Drosophila melanogaster: one gene and its partners. The protein of the gene in region 1 interacts with the protein of each later gene in a pairwise test. Each region holds a gene or a part of one and is shown on either strand. Other genes may lie near its edges.

Evidence for each region. The genes of interacting proteins can lie anywhere in the genome.
Region 2: the proteins of CG15422 (region 1) and CG8541 interact in a two-hybrid assay, tested with the Drosophila melanogaster proteins (one large-scale study listed by BioGRID).
Region 3: the proteins of CG15422 (region 1) and CG13049 interact in a two-hybrid assay, tested with the Drosophila melanogaster proteins (one large-scale study listed by BioGRID).

What each region holds. Positions count from the first base shown.
Region 1 is NT_033779.5:4,001,083-4,008,314, reverse strand, and holds CG15422 (uncharacterized protein), read right to left. Parts: upstream 3,332-7,232; 5' UTR 3,260-3,331; coding exon 2,945-3,259; 3' UTR 2,645-2,944; downstream 1-2,644. Other genes in the region: CG43773 (uncharacterized protein), read right to left, coding at 385-612; CG15423 (uncharacterized protein), read right to left, coding at 1,879-2,202; CG34176 (uncharacterized protein), read right to left, coding at 3,933-4,184.
Region 2 is NT_037436.4:7,468,063-7,475,787, forward strand, and holds CG8541 (uncharacterized protein), read left to right. Parts: upstream 1-3,496; 5' UTR 3,497-3,547; coding exon 3,548-4,375; 3' UTR 4,376-4,452; downstream 4,453-7,725. Other genes in the region: Tsp66A (tetraspanin 66A), read left to right, coding at 1-34, 84-200; CG8543 (uncharacterized protein), read right to left, coding at 1,514-2,173; CG43292 (uncharacterized protein), read left to right, coding at 7,568-7,630, 7,684-7,725.
Region 3 is NT_037436.4:16,277,859-16,284,960, forward strand, and holds CG13049 (uncharacterized protein), read right to left. Parts: upstream 4,073-7,102; 5' UTR 4,009-4,072; coding exon 3,991-4,008; intron 3,928-3,990; coding exon 3,400-3,927; 3' UTR 3,274-3,399; downstream 1-3,273. Other genes in the region: CG13065 (uncharacterized protein), read left to right, coding at 1-120; CG13050 (uncharacterized protein), read right to left, coding at 800-1,222, 1,343-1,351; CG13064 (uncharacterized protein), read left to right, coding at 2,621-2,629, 2,693-2,947; CG13048 (uncharacterized protein), read right to left, coding at 5,120-5,722, 5,782-5,799; CG13047 (uncharacterized protein), read right to left, coding at 6,907-7,102.

The sequences.
Region 1 (7,232 bases):
ATACAAGGGTAAATACGTAGTAGTAGCTGGCATTATATGTTCGATTTTTACTAAATGGTGCGCAAATAAAATAGTTTTTTATCATCTATAGTACCACTAATCCAAGTTGATACTTTTTCTGTTTATTGACAATATATAAACAAGATAAATGAAAACTTAGTGTTTTGGCCACAAAATCCAATAGCCATTTCCCAATATCAGCAGATTCTTCAAAGTTAAAATTTTAGAGATAATACAAACAAACTTAAGTTTGATCAAAAAATCATTCAGTAAATCCACAGCTTAAAGAATGTTATAATACTATTTTTCAAATGTAAAACAAAGGAAAATACTGTTTCGATTTCTCAAAAGTTTTATTATATTTTGAAGAGCATATTTTTCCATTTATTGGGTGGACACAGCAGCGACTGGTACAAATGTAGTAGTGGTGGTGATGTTGTTGTTGGTAGCAACTGGAACTGCAACCTGAGTGGGAACAACCACAACATTTCGGGACATCATCCTGCGGCACTGGCGACAAGGACGGCCCCAAGCCAGGGGATTTGCATAGTACAGGACTCCTCGAGGATGGTTGCACTCGGCGCACTTGAGGTTGATATTGATGTCGGACATGGCTCTGTCTTGTCTTGGCTCTAAGTTGTCTCTGCTCGACTGCACTTCAATTTGGCTTTTAACTTTAACTTATAACCTTTTTATACAGCCAGTTTGAATGCGATAAGAAAAATTGAGGACTCGCTTATCACAACAGTGATGGATCAAACTCGTAATTCTGCTGCAGCAGTTGTGATTCAATCTCTCAATCCCTCGATTTTCTGTGACTCATATGTTCTAGGGATGTTGAACTTTTCATTCTAGAGTGACTCATCATAGACCTCTTCTTAAGTGGTTTTTTAGGATACATTTTTACTTGCTATTCTCGATAGTTTAAGAATCCAAAAATAATTATCTTGACTCTTCTCTTCATGAGTAATTAATTCTTTTTTAGATATCAATTCCCGAACTCTTATCATGAAAAATATTTTTCATTTGTATACATATACATTTTAAGCCATAGTTGGATATGCAATTCTTATTTAAATACGGCAAGAATGGTATAACTTTTCATATAAAATCATAATTCAAATTTTACTTTGAGTCCAGCAAGATCTTTTATATTTATTACGCCATTTAAATTGAGAAAACTATTGCCCAGTTTTCGTTATAATAAAGCTTAAAATATGTTTATGTACTGACAGCACTAGTTGTACAATAATTGATAAGCTGGCTACGACCAGAGGACATCAATCATTTCCCACCAGTCAGATAGCAAAACCGAAGCCAAATAATATATACAAAAACCACAAAAAATCCACGAAAGCAATTACCCGTACGGAAAATAGAGAGTGGAAAAGGAATCATGACCATGACCATTGTTTATGTCGTTCGCCTGCAGTTCAATTTTCATATTTGTACCATTAACATTGCAAATAAATGCAGGCATATATATTCGCAATATGAAAATGTGTCACAGCAAGAACCGACATTGAAAACCAATCAAGTATATTTCAATTAAGGTAAAGTGCATTTAAGTTATTTAAGCAAATATTTCGAGCGGATTTACAATTGCATTGGCAATAAGATTGAGGCAAATTAAAATGTCAGCTTACATGAAGAAATATGTGCGTAATATATAGTATACTATAGTATATAGTAGTATAAACACGAAATTCAAACATGAAGGAGTGAACTGTTTATTTATTTTTTATTTTTATTATACAAGAGCTTAGGTTTTGTAAAAAGTTAGTTTATAGTTTCTATTTGCAGAAATACATGAAGTTTAATAAATATTTTTAAAGTTTTTTACTTCGTTGTTGAACGACGGTCATATGGAGACCACGCCTACCACCTGGGCGGTGGGGGCTGCTGAACGATGATGACCTCTTCCCTGGGAGGTGGACGCCGACCGCCGATGTTGAACTCGATGAAGGGAGCTCTTGGTGGCACCACATCCACCTCGATAATGGGTCGTGGTGGTGGCGGCTGGTAGACGGCAGCTGGTGTGATGACCTCCACCCTGGGCGGTGGTGGTGGATACCGGCCGCCCACTCCGATCTCAATCACTGGTCGAGGAATCCTTGGCGGCACAATGTCCACCTCTACAATTGGCCTTCCACCGTGATGGTGATGATGGTGATGACGACGTTCCTCCTCGTAGTACGGCATTTTCTTCAGAAACTATCCAAGTATTGTATCCTTAGTGGGTGAAGTGAATGCCTTTGACTGCTTTCTCGAACTGAACTTGCTTCTTCGCCTGCTTAACTATTTAAGTCAATTTTTATCGCTAATGAGGGGGAATTTTTTTTCCTAATTTTGTTATGTGCGTTTTGCACAGTAGCTTAGTTGGTTATCTTGTCAGGTGGAATAAATGTGTTTTTTTCGATAAAAAAAAAATAAAATTGATAAGTGCCATTTGATAAATACGAAATTCCGAATTGAATTTCATGAGGAGAGTTCAAGGTTTCCATGAATCACAATTTTATATTTAAGAGGAAGGACTTAATTCCATGCTTCTGATTGATGACTCACACTAAATTACATAAACATAAATAAAATCGATAATGCAGTATTTAGAATATTTTTAGAATTAAAGACGGGTAGGTTTTTTGAAGAGCAAGATATTTTATTTATTTCGTTTTAAGGTTATATAGCACAATTATATTTTCTTTGAAACGGTTAAAGTTAAATTCCAGTTTTGTTTTTTTGTACCTTCCTCTGGTTATTAACTTGTTAACTTTGTGGTGCGTAATGTCAAGACCATTGCACCATTTGCGTTGTCATTTCAACTTAAGATTAGGACAAAGTGATATTTGTTTTGATTTCTTGTTATCTATCCCTTCCTTCACTCCATCGATAGTATATTTTTTTTTTGTTAGTGGTGATGGCTTCGTTTCCATTCCGACCTCGTTCACCACTGCGGATACGGTGGATTGTTGTAGGGCTGCTGATACTGGTACTGATACTCGTACGCCTGCTGCTGCTGCTGCGGATAGTATCCATTGGTGGTGGCCACCGTGACGCCGCCGTAGGGTTGCGGCATTATCACCTGTGTGCCGGGCACATAGGTAGCCGCCGGGGTCATGTAGACTACCTCGGCGGGCCGAGGCGGAGGCGGCGGCGGATAGTAGCCGCCACCCCAACCGGGAACCACATCAATTTCGATATTTGGACGACCATGGTGATGGCGAGGAGGATAGCCACATGGATCTTCATAGTACCGCATAGTTGATTAACTAGCCAAATAATCAACCAGCCAACCGAACCAACTTCACCACCCAGCAACGCGTTGAATACTGGAAAGTCCGTGGCACAACACGTCTAGCTCGAAACAAACTGGAACTGCGAAGCTCCATCAATCAGGGTTTGTGGGAATTATTCCAGTGGTTAGAGGCAAAGATAAGATGGCTTAGTCATTCGACAAGGTCTGATAACAGCGACCGGACAGTTGTGCATTTACAGGTGATCGGGTTTCGCTATTTTACTCGCATTTTGTTTACTATATTAACTGATTCCGGCTTATCTATGGGTAACGCGTTATTATTTCTGATATAGGAGCATAGAAGCATTGACAGAGCATTGGTGAAAATGAATTAAAGTTTTGCTAGACATTAACAAAACAACAAGTGATTGCCGTCTAAATTAACCAGGTGTTCCGATAAAGACTTAAAAAAAAAAAACACGGATTAGAGATTTTGATAATAAAAAGAGGGAGTGTGTGTGATGGAATCAACTCGATTGAAACTCAACCATTACTCATGACAAATATGCAAAAAAACTAAAAACTATAAACTAAAACTTAGTTTATAAGGTTATACTTTATTGAGGACATATAGTTGTTAAGTAAGGCTACGTGGTATAAATTCATTGTGAAGGATTTTACAGATCAAAGTTCCTTCTCAATACTGTGGATTGTGGTAGTGGCTGCTGCCGGGCGGTGGTGGTGGTGGTGGATTTTGGTAGTACGGTGGCGGAGGCGCCTGTTGCACCACCATGACTGGTGGCGGTGGCGGAGCCTGCTGCTGCACCACCACAACTTGGGGTGGTGGGCGGTGATGGCGGCGTGGCCATGGTGGTGCAATCTGTACCTTAATCACGGGTCCACGACGATGAGGCGGTCCGCCGCAATGATCGTGGGGTGGTGGTGGCATAGTGGTGCACTAATCTTCTGTAGAAAGTCCGTCCAAATGTGTCGACTTATCGCTGGTAACTGAATTAAGCGAATGCCCAACTCATGGGACTGACTAACCAAACAAACGCCAAAATATTTGCCGTCATAAAAAAGCTCAATATCAGCATTTGCTGATAGCGAATAGGTAGGTAGGTACTCTTAATTATTTCTATTGACGAAAGTATTGCTTCTAGAGCAAAGTTATCGATAAATAAACTGAAAATTGGCAAATGGTAAAGCTTTTTTCGAATAAGCTTTTCAATTCAAATTTGAGCCTGCATATCAATAGATTTTCCTCGTTTCTTTAATGAGTCATGTTTGGTTTTTTCCGGGGATTTCTCCTTAACTTACATATAGTCATGTAAATACTTGTTTAAAGTTTTAAAAAGAAATAAAGTATTTCGTTGTCACGAAGAAAGGAAATGAACCAACGTGCAAATATTTGTATTTGGTTAAATGCGATTAAATTCCTTAACTCTAGTGAAAACAAACTTTAGCTTGAGAAAATGTTGTCAAGCCACAAATATTTATCCAATTTTCAGCCCCGAAAAATTCCCAATAATTCTTTACACATTTTCCTTAGCCGGCAAATATTTGGCAAACATTTGCACGTCTATTATGCAAAGTTTGCAGACACGATTTTGCCTCGAGGGGCGACGTGGGTAAATATTAAATGTATGGATAGAAAAACATGGTAATTTCTGACGGTCAATCAAGAAAAGTCTCTCGGGACTCTCTGAATCTCAATCACTTGATCAAATAAAATTCGGAATATTCGATTTGACAACCAGGAGAGCGGCAGCCTTTTTGGCTGTACTTAATTGAGTGGTTCGTGCTGCATTTCGCATTTCATTCGCTCTTTGAATTGTCACTTCGATCAAGGAACTGGGGTTAAGGGTTACGGCTTAAGGGTTAAGGGTGCTTGCCCTAAAAAGTTAAACATGCACAAAGTGGCAAACGAGTTTCGGGCAAAGTTTTCAACTGACGCAAAAGAAGGAAGGAAATGAGTGCCGCATAACGCGCAACATATCGACTGAGCTTTTGTGGGCGCGCTGCGTTGGTGGGGCGTGGCAGGCCGCATGACAGTCACTCACTTTAGTTATTATAGCCATTAAAAGGAAATCCCAACTGGCTGTAATGAAATCACTGTCCATAGCAAAAACGATAGTTTAAACGTAGCCAATTCACTTTGGGGATAAAAAATAATGTAAATTTTCAAGACCTCTGAAGAAAAAGAAAATTTCTCAAGCGAATTTACTCGAAAAAGTGTATTAAGTGCGTCATCTTTGAAGCCTCCGCTTTTTCCACATGTATTTTTTAACTCCTTGTGCATATTTTAGGAAATGAATTGAGTCCTGGCAAGATAAAATGTCTCTGTCCCCGAGTGAAGAATCAAAATCAGAAAATTGGGGCTTGGAATCGGGAGTTGAATCTGGATCTGAATCTGCAGCTGAAACTGAGGCAGCGCCCTCGAATCGATAACTGTCAAAAAATAAGCCGGCAAGCAACATGCAAGACAGGCGCATAAGGGGGCGTGGCAAAAGGGGTGTTGCAAATGGATGGGGATGTGGTTGGGGGGATGGTGGTTCTGGTGGTTTTAAGCGGTGGCGGCGGCGTCGCACAATTTAAATATTTATGGCGCTCCGCTTGGTGCACAAGAAACGGAACCAGGCACACGGCATAGCCAAAAAACCGTAACCGTAAGCCTAACCAAGAAACCAGGAAAAGCAGCTATCCGAAATTTCGCAACCCGTTTACTGAGAGAAATCAAATGAAAGTATTTGCAAAATTCAGCTTCGCACAAAAGTCCAAATTATTGTAATTATTATTTTTAAAGGGATTTAAAATTTTGAAAAAAAAAATATCGGTTTTATACAGAATAACAACATGTACGTTGAAATGTGTATAAAGGATTTATGAAAAAATTGATTGTATGCATTTTTCTTCAGTGCATACCACCTTTACGAGGCTTCTTTAGCAGCGGCGTCAGAAAACGCATTTCCTGCTCATGTCATGACATGCAAGTGTGGCTGGGAAATCGCGTAACGCAGCAAGAGTTGGCAAGAAAATCGGGAAAGTTGGAAAATCGGTTGGTGCAGAAATGGGTTACCCAAAAGGAATCATTGCTTTTGTCGACATGTCATGGCAATACTCGTATCTGAAAAGTGTTTTCGGGGTTGGGCTGAGATGTTTTTCGAACATTTTCAAGAACATTTTATTGAGCTACCGTTTTCAGGCACTCGCTGCAAGTTGATGATTGATAGAGTTGTAAAACTGAAGACGGAAAGGCAAAATGCTGCCAGAGGTGAGGGATGACTTGACAGTTTTGCTAAACTCTTGAAATCTTGCAGCGTAACTACGAAAATGTTGTCGAATATTTTTACAATTAGGCAATGTGCTTAGCATATTCAATAATTTAAATATTTTTAAAAATATTATTAAAAAAAGAATTTACATATTTTTACATTTTTGAACTCTATATTGTAAATTAAAACGGTTTCTTATGCACAATAGTTTTAGAAGCACTGACGCTTGCGTTCCTCTCAACTTTTAATTGAAATCAGCTCACAGTTTTACAGCCATAGGTGTACACCAGCAACCGCCACTCCCCCTTACGCCCACAAGGCCATTAAGGAACTTGTTAATTTGCATTTTCCATTTCCATTTGCATGAAAATTTGTTTCTTTTCGCGAGGCGCAAAAATTAACCAGCGAAAGAAACAAAAATGAGGCAAAAGTTGAAGGGAGCACAAAGTTGTCCCTTTAATGCCTGCGGTTTGCACGCCCAGAACTCCAGGAAAACCAAGGTCTTCTTATGCGTATACATGTACATAAACTCAAGCCAATTTCCGGATCTCACTTTCATGTGCCGCCGTATAATTGCTTCTCACGTATTGTCGCAATCAAAACAAAAGCCCACGAAATTCATAAACGATTTTTCACTTTTCCATTTACTGGCACATCCAAAAATTGGGTAAACATTTCCGAGGGAAAGGGCCATCCAAAAAATCGGACGGATAAAATGTTGG
Region 2 (7,725 bases), on another chromosome or scaffold:
GCCCATCATCCATGTGATCTCCTTCGTAATTCAGGTGAGTAGTGGTCGGGTGTTTCGAATTCTAACGCTAAAAACCATTTTAGTATGTTTTAGTCATATGCATTGAGGTATTCCTTATTATCCTGTTAAGGAGCAAATCCCAACCCACAAGTATGTGGTCTGAGCGGGTCACCGAAAGGTTTGGTAGTGTAAAAAAGTGACTTGCAGTTCTATTCGGATTTGGGAAGCAATCCTAAAGAACATCTCTGAACTTTAGGGCTATTTTCCAACATTGCATGGAACTTAAGCAGCAGATTTTCATGTGAATTGCAATTTTGGGTGCGGTTTTCAATTCACATTGTACCGGGCATGAGTATTGGCATTCTGGCGGGCGAGACAAATTGGATGCTGCCGGCTATCGTCATATTTCACGGACTGCAATCAATAACGATAAACACTTGAGTCGCAAATCCAATGTCCAGAATCCTGTCCAACAACGGCATGCATATGGATGAGCCAATAAAGAAATCAACAAAGCATGTCGGGCGATTGAAAAAGTATTGCAAATACCCCGGATAGCTGGGGATTCGGACACGGAATTGGACTCCAATCCGGACAATATGCAAATGCAGCTAAGCAGAAAATATTCAAGGACGATCCAGCCCCACCCCCTTCAACAAACGCTCAAGTTTATATATTCATTTTGTGTCCCTCGTCCCGCGCATAAATTTTATTGTTGTCAACATTAAATTCTAGTCGTGAAAAACAATTTTGCAGCATTTGAAAATCCATAAAATATGCATACGAAATTGTCCGCCGGAACGACCAACTTTATGGCTAAATAGTTTGCTCCGGCCCACATCGTTAATGCCTTTTTTATGCGTTGTATTTGGGTGTTGGGTAAACTTTTTAGCCGCCATAACAATAACGGCAGCAAAAGCAACCACACTTTGGTCAAGCTGCTGAAATATCCAGTGCAAAGTTCATAGATAAAGGGAAGGGATACAAAGACGAAGTCGCAGGCGAAAAGGGTCATGTGGCTCATTAAACTTTGGCCAACAATTTTTTGTTGCACCCCCCAACCGGCAAAGACAAACAGAAAGTTTTGCACTAAATATTTGCGCCCTCGCAAAAAAAAAAACTAGGAAAACAGAATGAAAAGGGTTTTTGAGGTGAGTGGCCATGGTTTCCGGGGATTTAAAATGGTTGCAACAATTCTTAGCACACATACGCCCCATTAAACGCTAGAAAAATTATATGTTAAGAGCTAAAACAAAAAGGGTGAAAGTGTTTCTTTAAATTGATGTTATTAAATCGTTTTATATGGGAAGTTCTTCAGAATATATGATCATAAAATTAGATTTATGACTGACCCCTTTTACAATGTTTAAACTTTAATTCTTTGCTTACTTGAACAACCTTTTTACCTTTGCAATTGCAGGAAATAATAATTCGTGCTTGATTCAGTTATAAACGGATTTTATTTCGTACAGACAATTCAACAAAGTGTCAACAAAGGTTGGGATGACCTGACCTAGTATCCCCAGTGGGATCCGAATCCATCGAAGCTGGCGTGGGCAACCACGGCGGCGGGCGAGTACTTCACATAGGCGGCGGGAGCAGCAGCCACCAGAGGAGCAGGAGCGTGGTAAACTGGAGCAGGAGCGGAGTACACGGTCTTGGCCACGACTGGAGCTGGAGCGGAGTAGACTGGAGCTGGGGCGGCATAGACAGCCTTGGCGACGGGAGCAGAGTACACGGTCTTGGCCACGACTGGAGCTGGAGCGGCGTAGACTGGAGCTGGAGCGGCATAGACAGCCTTGGCGACGGGAGCAGAGTACACGGTCTTAGCCACGACGGGAGCAGGAGCAGCAGCGTAGAAGGACTTGGTGATCACTGGAGCAGGTGCGGAGTACAGGGTCTTGGGAGTGTAGACATTGTTGGTGATGCGGGAGTCCACCTTGCTGACACTGGAGTACGGGGTAACCACGTTCTTGGAGTAGGTGGACACAGTGCCGCCGAAGGAGCGCACCACATTCTGCTGGGTGGTTCCCACGGCATCGTAGTGGGGCTGAGCCACCTTGGCCACCACGGGAATGGAGGCAGCGGCATAGGTGGTGGCCGGAGCCAGGAAGCCAGCACTGGCCACACCCACCAGAGCGCAGAAGGACAACAGGACGTACTTGAATGCCATGGCTAAGATTGAATTGATTGATTGACAATTTAAAATTGAAAACTTAAGCTGATGTTTGTAGTGAGCTGCTGTGGCTACTGATGCTAAACTCTTGGCAAGCGACTGTTTTTATAGCCAAAACTCGCATATGGCTTGCCAAATTTCACGGCCAACTCGCAAATTATAGTTTGTTCGTATGACAGATTGAGTTAGGCCTAAGCTCCCCACAAAAAAAAAAGAAGAAAAAAAAACTGGTTCAATGGGTCGACAAATGACTGCGCTCTTTTCTCTCCCTCTTTCCGTGCTCCGTCTCTGTCTTAATTGGAGGCCAGCTCAAGTGCCCCACACCCCAAATGCGAAATGTATCAGGAAAGTGAATTATTTTGAATACTCGTACTATCAACAGCTCATAAATTTTCCAGCAACGGAGTGGGGCAAACTTTTATTTTCCCGCTGTGTTTTTCCATTAAATTGAGTTCCACTCGAGCAGCAAATATGAGGCAACCCCTCAATAAGGGGATGTTCCTTAGCTCCTTGTTGCTGTCAACTTTATCAGCAGGGGTGTCAGTGGTTCCTTTCTTTTCGGAGTGGTGGCAGTCAGTTGTTTATGATTTTTGTTTGTTTTTATTCCAAGGGGAAGCCGAGAAGTTTTTGTGCCCTTCCAGAAGGAAGATCTGAAGTTGAAATTAATGATCAGAAGTCGAAAAGTTTTGGTGCGTCCTAAATAGCTGTTCAAGAAAGATGCCATATGCATAGCTCAGTATAAAGTTCCTATATGGATTGGCCATAAAAATAATATTATTTATAGATATATTATAATTCATTGAAACACCCATTTTATTGACACTGCGCATAGAGTACTACCACTTCGTTCTGTGTGCATTTTTCCACTCTTGATGTTTTTCTTTTGTTTCGGCCAAGTTTGGAAAATGAATTTTCCTGCTCTGCTGCTCACGGGCGCATGATGAATATTTATTGAAATTACCAAAGTTGACGCTACTCCAAATTGAATTGTGTTGCCAACTTGGGATGCTTCTTACTGCCACAAATTCTGCGCTCTTTTTCCTTCTTCTATTGGCGCGCATTTTTTTGTTTTGGTTTTTGTTTTTGGCAAATTGTTATTAATTTTACACGGGGGGCGCTGAAGCCCCACACCGAAACCTAATTACCGCGTTTAATGCATGCCTGCAAATTGGCTTTCAAGCGGTTACGCAGGTGAACTGCCATCGCATTGTGGAAATCACCAGAAAACCAACCAAAAACCGACAAAAACTGGCACGCGTCCGATGCGTATAAAAGCCGGCACATTTTGGCCAAATCAGCATCAGTCGCAGCCCAACCAGCCTGCTTTCAACTTGACTCGAGCAAACCGTCCAGTCATCACCGTACTTCAACATGGCATTCCGCTATCTCATCTCTCTGTGCGCCCTGGTGGCCTGCGCCAATGCTGGTCTCTTGGCCAGCCATGTGGCCATTGCTAATCCGTCGGTGGATGCCGTCGCCTCCACTCAGCAGAATGTGGTGAGGTCCTTTGCCGGTACTGTTTCCAGCTACTCGAAGGCGGTGGACACCCCCTACTCCAGTGTGAGGAAGAGCGACACGAGGATCCAGAACAATGTATACACTCCTGCTATTAAGACGACCACTTATGGTGCTGCTCCTCTGTACACTCAGGCTACTCCCATTGTGTCCAAGACTCTGGTCCATGCTCCAGCTCCCGTTGTTGAGAAGACTGTGTACGCTGCTGCTCCAGCTCCAGTTCTGGCCAAGACTGTTTACTCCGCTCCTGCTCCAGTTGTGGCCAAGCACGTTTATTCCGCTCCAGCTCAGGTTTATGCTCCTGCCGCCCCAGTTGTGGCCAAGACCGTGTACTCTGCTCCTGCTCCAGTTTACGCTGCTCCTGCTCCAGTTTATGCTGCACCCGCTCCAGTTGTAGCCAAGACCGTGTACTCCGCACCAGCTCCAGTTCTGGCCAAGACCGTGTACTCTGCTCCAGCTCCAGTTTATGCTGCTTCCGCACCGGCTGTGGCCAAGACTGTGTCCTATGCCGCCCCACTGGCCACCACCAATGTGAACCATGGACCAGCTGCCACCACCTACACCCACAATGCTCCAGCTCTGGGCGTCTCCAGCTATGGAAGCTCCCAGACGGTTCACTATTCCCCCGCAGAGAGTGTGTCGCACATGAGCTTCGATGGATTCGGAACCCACTGGGGTTTCTAAATAAGTCTTGGCCTTTGGGCTTAAGCAATTGTTAATGTTTGGTGGTCAATAAAGACGGAGATCGATTGTTGCAAATTAAACATGAGCCGAGTAAAGTAGACCTTCTGGGTGAACAATGGGCCAAACTGGTTTCTGCCAATTCATCGTTATGCGTTGGCCTTCTATGAGGTCTTACCTGAAGTGCTAAGGCGGTGGGCGTGGTGGTAAGCGGCTTTGTGATAAGCTGTGGGGGCGTGGCATGTCGTGTTTTATGGCTCTTTAATTGGATTTAATATTTTTCGCACACCTTTCCCCCAAAAGCAACTTGTGCACATGTTATATTTATTGTCAGTTAATTAACGGATATTTATGCTCGCATAACCGCAACTCCGCATAAATGGCTTACACGCTTGCCTCCCAAACTTAACATTGACATCTTGGCTCAGAGTGACTGTGGATAGATATGTGGTACTACATTAATGGGTACCAGTTAAATGGGTTCAATTGGAACCATTGACAGGCGGCCAAGAGGTAGAGTTTAATAGACCGAATGCGTGTTTTGACAGTGATATTTTAACGGGATTGCTTGAACAGCGATCGAGTTGCGTAATGAAAGGTAAATGATAGAGAGACTGAGGTAATAGACAAAAGACAAAAAGACAGGAAAGTTATTAAAGACATGGATCAGCTCTTAATAAGCATTAACTTATGCCTCATGAACTTTTGAACTTATTACTATTGATAATAATTTTTGTTATTCTTCCTTAAAACTCGTTTAAGATTTTCTCAAAAATAAGTCAAAAATGTTCAACTTTAGTTTGCCCTTCTAAGACATGACACTAATGCGACATGCAATCGAGCTGATTAATTCCCTCTTGGCCAATTGACAGGCCAGACAAGAACAATCAAATTAAATGAAAACGTGTCCAAAAAGAGTAGAACGAGGACCCTGTCTTGGAATTTTTGCCAGCCAAATTAGTTGCATTTGTTATTGTTCTCGGCGGGCGCTTTGATTTGTGATTTGATTGCGCATACGCCCCGTGCCACATGCCAAAATGTGCCAGATTGTTCTCGTCTGAGTTGACAATTAGTCAATAATTTATTTCAATTTCATTTCGCATGCCAAGCACACACACACAAACAAAACACCCCAAAAGGAAAGCCTAACTGCACTTTAATTACATTTACATTTTGGCTTGAGATTGTCGCTTTAGTTTTTGCCACAAAAACGAGACTGACAAGGGGGCAAATTGCTGGGACCATCCTGCAATTGTTGCAATGCAATTTAGGTAAGCGAATTTTCATGATTTAAATAACAGCATTATGTGCGGCAGATTGTGTGTGTATGTGGTTGAAAAACTGCAGACATTGTCGCTTTGCCGTTCGGTATTTTGTGTTTTGTCTGACTGGCTGGCTGTGTGTCCTGGTATAATTAAATTATGGCTGGACATAAGACGCATAATAGGTCATAAATCAAATTTACCTATCCCACGGGTCCATGCCGAGCATGACACTCCAGACGGCGTCACAGACACAGTTTCCCATAGACAACGTTGCACCGAAAAAAATTTAATATTATTTTTATAAAATATTAAACTTGCTTAAAAGCTTGATTTGGCTTAGAGACTTCTAATAAAAACTTAAATTGAGATTAGAAACATCCTGTTCAGACCTTTTTTAAACGTTACATATTATTCTGCACATAATTTTCTTCCGTGGAACAAGGACACATTGTGTACTGGTCATTTTTCCCTAATTTTGATGGACATTATGACGACTCTGTCTCGGCACACAATTAGATAATTGATGCATCTGCTATGGCTGTTGTGCCCGTCCCGCCCGTTTGAATTTACATTTGTGCCGGCATTTCAATTGCAACTTTGACTCCACCGAACCACAAAAGGGCCGTCCCATGGTCCAGATTCTGTTTTCCTAACTGCGGCTATAACTGCCATACTGTGACTGCAGTTAATGTGTCCTTCTGTCAGAACCAGCCACACTTTGAATGGATTGCATTTGAAACATTTCATAGGCACAGCAAACGAATTTGTTGCCTTATTTTCGGCCTACTATGTTCTATGCGTTTTTCTTTTTTCGTGACCATTAATGGCTTTTATATGAAATGAGTTTCTTAATCACTGATGCTGTAATACAAAATTATAATAAAGAAAACCGACGATATCTGCGATATCGCATAGAAGTAGACAAAGAGGATACCCTCCCATTTCTCTATAACATTTTTCTGCCACCCAACTGGTGGGTGTATTAAAATTTAATTTTTAGATTACAGACCGTTTGTTTTCTATTTGCTCCACGAGGCGAAACAAACAAGTGCAGCTGGGCGTGTGGGGGGAAGACAAAAGCAACTTTAAGGTCGCTTTTTTTCTGTTGATTTATCATCACTTTATGCAAATTGACCGCTTACCTTTGAGCTTTATCGCAGCACATCTGTGAAAAGCTTCGGTTGAGGGGTTCTACTCCTCCGTTTTCCTGCGATTTTCCTTGGCAGTTTTCAACCCCGCCATTGGCTGCCACGTGCAATGTCAATGCCAAGCGATTAACATTCAATTAGCTTTTGGCTCCATCAATGATTTTATCACACAGCCAGGAGGTCCTGTTGCTGCGGCTGGTTTGAGTGTAAATTGTGGCAAATTATCATTAGCCTGTTTGGGGTCCACAAACAAGAAGGAGAGGACTACAGCAAGGACATCTTCAAAAGGTTTTTATGACATCAGCAGCTGTCGTTGACAGATTATTGTGGCGATTATTTTAGCAGAGCGGTAGGACACACAGGACAGATACCAGATACCAGATACAAGATACAAGACGGCAAACAACAAACGGGTTCCAAATGGAATGGGGGCTATTGTGCGTTCAACTGGAAAATGTCAACAGTGTTGTTGGCATTGCTGTTGGCCGCTTTGTCGTCCCTGTTACTCAGCCACATGTGGCAGGACTTGAAGAACATCGAGGACCTCGTCCTCTTCCCGCCACTTGAATAGCTTGCGGCTTAGCACTTGTGAATAACTAGCTAAAGTTGAAGAAGTTGTCACATTTTTATCAACACCACTGGCCGTGTAATAAATTCTTATCCGCACTTGGCTAAGTAACAGGTATCTTATAGTCGAGATACATACGAAATAGTTCTCTCTTGCTATATTTACAGACATGAAAAACTTGTCATTTTATTTTGGAATTTTGTAAAATTTTACGATGTGCGTTTGCCCGCCTCTCCTTCTTAAGATCGCTCTGCTGATGGTTATATTCCCTACCATCGTAAGTTACCTACTTTAGTTATTCTGAACAAATATCATTGATCAAATCCGCAGGCTGTTAATATAATGGAAGTAATTTACAATGGTGTGAACTCG
Region 3 (7,102 bases), on another chromosome or scaffold:
CTGGCCGCTCCCTTGGGATTGGGCTACAAGTCGGCATATCCTACTCTGGGTGCTCCTCTGGGACTGGGCTACAAGACAGCTCTTGCTGCTCCTGCCTATGGACTCGCTCATGGATGGTAAACGAGGTCCATACCACCCATCATCGTTTTCCGCATGCATTTCGTTTTGTTTGGATCGGTCAGAAATGAGATGTAAATACACAGAGAAAAAAGAGAGAGAGAGAAATCAGTGAAGGTTTTGTAAAGTGAAATCAAATTGTTAAAAAACAGATTGTGAAGAGTGGGTTTGATGTTGAAATATATTTCGATTGAATTTAAAAACTAAACTTAAAACTGTTTTATTTGATCAAGCGTTTGAGGCAATATGAAAAACGTGCTGACAATTTTCAAATATTCAGTTTCATTTTGTTTTTCAGATATTTATTTTCAGATTTCAGTATTTGGATGTTCCTTATAGCCAAAGTTTTGAAATCGTAAACGAATGTTATATATTTTGTTCAGAACATCAAAAGTGTGCTTTACTTACATTAAGTATCAAAATATATGTTTAGTATAGGCAATTAAGACAATTATAAATATGTCTCAAAGAACCGTGAGAAAAAAAGATCCAGTTTTAATAAACGGTTGACCATGATTCTAGTTTTTTGTACATTTTTTGCTTTGTCTTTATTGATTTATTGACTTGCTGAGTGACTGACTGAATAAGATTTGGGTACTGCGAAGTATATGACTTGATTGAAAACTCTCACACGCTCGTCCCGGCTCCATTTGGCTTAACTTTACTTGACTTGGGAGTACCTCTACCAACCGTGGCCATAGCCATATCCCAGTCCGTATCCCAGACCCAGACCCAGACCCAGACCGTGTCCTCCGTACAGTCCATGGCCGTAGCCTCCGAGATATCCGTGACCGAGGCCATAGCCATAGCCGCCCAAGTAGCTTTTGCCGATGATCGTCTTGGAGATGATGGGTGCATGGTAGCCCAATCCCAGACCAAGACCTCCATAGTGCCCGCCATAGCCGTGCCCGTAGAGTCCTCCGTAGTGCCCGATTCCTAGACCCAATCCCAGGCCATATCCACCGTAGCCATGACCAATTCCGATTCCAATGCTGGGTGATGGAGATGGAGCAGGAGCTGGAGACGGAGATGGTTCTGGAGCGGGTTCAGGAGCAGGAGCTGCCAGGATGGAGGTCGTCAAGCAGGCGATTGTAATGAGTAGCAGCTTTCAATGAAGAAAAGACAAATGTTATTTATATGATTTAAGTAAAAAAAATTGCTTATATTTTCTAAAGTATTTTTTATTAATAATTGTATTATCCTTTTATATCCTGGTACCACTTACTCCTTTCATCTTGCTGTAGGTAATTTTCCGGCTGCTTCTGTGGCGGCTTAACCAATTGTGTTGCTGCAGTTGATCCCAGCAGGCCTCTTTTATACCAAACCCCAGTTCAGTGGATTGCATCCCCACATGGACATCGGTGATCTAATGAGCAGTGCCACAAAGTAAATCTAATTCGCCTGACAAGTTGCCCAAGTTAGCGGCATGCCACAAAACCATCCGTAGCTGCTGTAAATAAAAAGAAAATCCAACACCTGTTTTTTTTTGCCTTTTGGGCCAGCATTGTATAATCTGCAATCGAGTTTGGCATTTACCAGTCCACAATGGTTCCAGTTCCAGTTTTTAATTTGGCCTGTGGGCATTTTAAATCTGGTGGGTGGCCTTTTCCTTCGTTTCCTTCATGTGATTCCGGTTGGATCTGATCAAGAACTAAGATCTGAACTTCGGGTCAATGGTCTGTTTATTTTTATTCAGTATAGAAAAGAAGAGAACTATATAAGTAAAAGTATAGACTCCTCCAAAAAAACGCTATATATTCGTAGGTTTAATTTAAATATATTTCAAAATCTATTTTTCACGAATCTATAACACAAGTATATATTAAGCAAAATTTGTATGTGTCAGACTGGCCACAAAAGCAACTTCGTTGTAGGGAGTGTGCTAGTATTAAAACTAAAACAACGTTTATAACCGCTTTAGCATAAAGAGCTCGAACAGCCGCTGAATAAAGTCAAACTAATCAATTCTTAACACCTCCAAAGCCACATAAAATAGCTCGAAAAACACAAGATTGGGCAATGATTAAAATTGAAAAGAGACATCAAATGGGTAAACAAAGGCAAATCCGCAGACGTGTGACCAACTAACTCATACTTCCCAAGAAAAAAAAAACAAACAAACAAAAAGCCGAGAAATGTAAGACAACAAAAGCAACCAACCAACCCAATGTGCCATAATTAAGTGCACAAAAGAGTCACTGACTCTTTGATAATCTTCGGCGTTGACGCTTTAAACTTGAACTTGAAAACGGGTTTCTTTTCGAAGAGAAGGGGACCAGAGGCCAAGTGGAGTAGTGCTCCCACTACATGGATGTTGCAACAGGTTCCTGGTAGCAAGGGAAATGCAGTTGCTGATCTCAGGGGATTGTCAACCGGTTTACCCCTCCTAACTGTTTAAAAGCGCTATGAAAATCCAGCGATGAAGACGAGCCTATAAATTGATTGGCCTTCGGCTGCATTCAGCTTAGTCCAAGTGCAGTTCTGACCACAATATCACCAGAGAATGTTCAAGGTAAACAGGATAGATACTCAGTACTCCTTTATTAGTATCTGTATCTGATAGATCTTATTTTAGCTCGTCGTGCTATTCGGCCTTTTGAGTGGTGCCTTTGCCGCCACGGTTATCTACCATCACCCGGTGATCTATCATCATCCTCTGCCGGTTGCATCAACGCCCCAGGAGTTGGCTCAGCATCCTGGCTACACCATTGTGGCACCTCTCACGAAGATTGCCCACGTCACCTACGATTCGGTGCCCATTTCGCACACGCCCTACGAACATGTTCCTCTCTTCCAGAGGATTGGTCATGTCAAAAACATTAGGTTCTAGCGATGTATACCCTAGAAAAACATAGTTTAACTTATAAATAAAAACAAATAATAATAATAATCATTCTTTTAATCATTACGTTTAACATTGCTGCTATCACTGATGAATGATTCTATAAAACTTACCTAAAAATCCGTAAAAAATATAGAAACCGTTTATATGGTTTTAGAAGGTATTATATATTATCCGCTAATGATGTTCGACTTTTAAGAGCAGTATTAATTTGAAATATGATTTTGGATGGTATAATCCAAGGCAGCTATAATAGGAAATACTACTGAGAGGCTACCAAGTAAACTTCCTCAAAGAAACACGTTTGTAAATTTGATTAATGGATAATTGTTTATTCGCCAAGCATTGCTGCTCTCTAGGAGATGAAGATTTGGGCTAGTTTCTACAATCTAATAGGACGGATGGGAGTGTATGAGCTGGGTGATCCTACAGCTAAGTCCTTAGAAGAAGTATGGGGCGGGAGCGAACTTGGGGGCCACAGCCAGAGGCGCTGGGACTGGAGCAGCCAGGGGAGCGGCGAAGGGTCCGAATCCGAACTTGGCTGGTGCGGCGAAGGCAACAGGCGCCGGAGCAGGGGCGAAGCCCAGAGGAGCAGCCACCGGAGCGGGAGCGGCGAAGGCAACCTTGGCGGGAGCAGCAAAGGCCACCGGAGCAGGAGCAGCAGCCACTGGCAGAGGAGCAGGAGCGGCAAAGGCCACTGGAGCGGGAGCAGCAACTGGAACGGGCAGGGGAGCGGGAAGGGGAGCAGCGAAGGCCACTGGAGCTGGAGCAGGAGCCACTGGGTATGCCACGGCGTGGTTGATGCGGTGGGCATTGAAGCTGGAGGCATATGGAGCCACCACTCCGGCGGTAGCCACAGGAGCAGCCAGGGGAGCTGCGAAGGCAGGAGCAAGTGGAGCAGCCAGTGGAGCCGGAGCATGGAAAGGAAGGAGACCAGCCTGAGCAGAGGCCACGCAGAGGGCAACGAGCTGTAAATGAAGGTATATATCTATAATCCACTTCGATAGATCCGGACATCCTTTGCAACTCACCACAATCTTGGCGAACATTTTGGGGATTGGGTATGATTTGCTAGGTGTGATTAGCTTGAAGGCAGACTGAACTGTGATATCCAATTGTCCACTGGGTAACGCTTTTATAATTCTGTAGCCCACGGAATATCCATGGACGCGCATACGAAAACACCTTGGAAGACTTTCTATATTGGGAGCTGATGAAGGGCGTTGCTGGATCGGTGCGATATATGTACATATGTACTTAATAATCAATCGGTAGCCTCTTACGTCGATCGCCCCCGAAAACTTTCATAATTGCACGCAATTCCCGACCATAACCTAGGTTAATATTGGGCAAGATTTCGTTTGGGTTTCGGTCGGGTTTATGACAGTTGGGGCTTTTCGAATATTTTCGGTGGGTGGTGCTTTTGTAATGAGCTGCAATTATTTACCCAGAGTACGTGTTACTTGGCTCAATCATTTAATTGAATTACCACTTTTTTTCGTCCACCCGCTTTTTGTTTATTGTTGCAACAATTGTCGCGTGTTTGGGCCGGGTTTGTGTCTGGAATTTCTGATTTGATTTCATGTTGCGTGCAGTTCGAAATCCACTAACAACATTTCTGTGCCCCACTTGTGAGTGTGTGTGTGTGTGTGTTGCCAATAGTTTGTGTGTGTGTGTGTTGGCCGAATAAATGAAACCCCATTTGGCGACATTACGAGGCGTCTGGTTCGTAATGAGAGTCTGAATCAGATAGCGAATATGTTTCCTTTTGCTAATTTTTTGGTGTGCCTATGATTTTATCAACCGCAGTTACATTCTCTGGGATTTCTATTTTTGGAAATAATTGGTAAGAATGTGCGGGAATACTGAATATATTTTCATATATTTTGCTTAAGAACGCAATGATTGAATTCTAAGGTTAACAGAGCCTTAAATTGAGTATAAATGTAATTTGATTTATAATTCATTTTATTTGACTATATTTATTCGATATATTATTGTATAATGCATGAATTTTATTTGTTTCGTTTTTTATTTCACTATATTTATTCGATAAATTATTGTATAATGCAGGTAGACTTGTAGATTTAAGCTTTACATATCCTATCTGACACTAATTACTCTTTGGTGAGGTTTTCATCATCCGTAAGGTCGGGATGATCACCACAGCGAGTGGTGATGGTGATGAGCGAACTTCAGGGGCAGGGCTTTCAGATGGGCGTGGGGCGTGGCCAGCAGCTTGGGAAAGGCGTAGCCAATGGACACGCGGTGGGTGGTGGTCTTCGGTCCGGGAATGGCACGGTAGGTGGGTGCAAAGGGCACCGCCTCCAGGACGGGCGGCAGCACTTGATGGGTGACACTGGGCACATGGAACTCGGGCAAAAGAGGAGTAGGAGCTGGCAGAAAAGCTGGAGCTGGTAGAAGTGGTGCAGGTGCTGGTAGAAGTGGTGCAGGAGCGGGCAGAAGAGGAGCAGGAGCCGGTAAAAATGGTGCAAGAGCAGGTAAGAGAGGCGCTGGAGCAAATACAGGTTGTGGTGGAGCAAATGCTGGTGGTGGAGCCACCGCAGGAAGCAAAGGAGCTGGCGGAGGAAGGACCGATTCCTGCACCGCGTAATCCAAGTGGTGCGGCAGAGCATGCAGAGAATCCAAGTGGCTCAGATGATGTCCGTCAAAGTGGTTGACATGGTGGGGATCGAAGTGATTGTAGTGAAGATGAGAGGGCTTTGCCTCACCACCCACCAGCAGGAAAGCCAATGCAAAGGCCTAAAAATATTTAGGTTACCTATTAATATCTTTGGTCAAAAGAACTTTGCAGTCCTTACCCATGTCAGTTGCCACATCTTGCTTGGGGGATTTGAAGTTCGGTTTCTTTGGGGCAGTAGCTTCTCGATCGATGTGCTCGACCTGTTGGTTCGGCTGCTAATGTCTTTGCATTGTCAAATTAAATTAATATTTATAGCGAATTGAAGGCGGTACGCAATCAAAAGACTTGCACTTGCATTTCTTCACTTTCGACGACGACTTGGCCCACTCACCTAACTTAATGGGTTGCATCATTTGGAGGGAGGCAACCCAATCCCATTTAGTTGGTCAGCAAGTCGTGACTGAGACGGCGACTGCGAATGGCACTGCCTTCGATCGAGGGGCCAATAACTTCTTGGGCGATTCGAAAGCACGGCCCATGATTATATAACATGGGGCCAACCAAGCCCAGGCATTGACAGTTGCCCATGAGTGGAATATGATTATGATAATCCATAAATATTGCTTTGACCATAAATAACAATCGATATTGCGCCTTAGGTGACAACGCAATCACAACAAATATTGTTTACATGGTGACCAAGTTGTCTGACTTTAACTTCCCTAAGTCCCTAACTTATGTATGTTGCTACTTTGTCAATATTATCTTTAAAATTCAATGCAGCTGTTAGAAAAAATTCCATTAAAAATTAAATGCAGACCTATAATTTATGCATAATTTGTATTAAATGATATCCACCAATAAACAAGCTTATTTTGCATATCAAAGAAATGAGTGAGAAACGAGAAATTCAGAGCATTAAATGGAAAGTTCTAAAGTTTCTAAAAAAAAATTAAATAACTTCCTCTATCTGAAATCTGGAAATATATGGATGCTTAATAAAACCACTTGCACAAAAGGAATCATCTAATCAAAAATTGATCATAGTTAAGTAAAGAAGTTATTTTATATTTTCTTAAGAAATATATATATATTGACCCAATCGAAATGAGCGTCCAATTGAATTTTCATGAACCAAAAATATCCGATAAATAATAGTACTTTCGTTTTTCGTTAATTATTCAAGGCATTTCTGCAAATAATAAGATGGTGCGCTCTAATTGTTGGTTCGTAATTTATTATCAGTTTTTTTTTTTGTTTATCAAAAATTTCCTATAGTTTGGCCTGCTTCACAGGTGTGTCCTTAGACCACCACTGGAGCTGGAGCAGCAGCGGCGATGGGAGCAGCATAGGATGCAGCGTAGGGAGCGGCGTAGGGAGATGCCAGGTAGGGTGCAGCGTAGGGCGAGGCATAGGGATAGGCGGAGTAGGCAGCGGCGGCATAGGGAGCAGCGGCCAGAGGAGCAGCAACGGGAGCAGCGGCCAGAGGAGCAGCGACG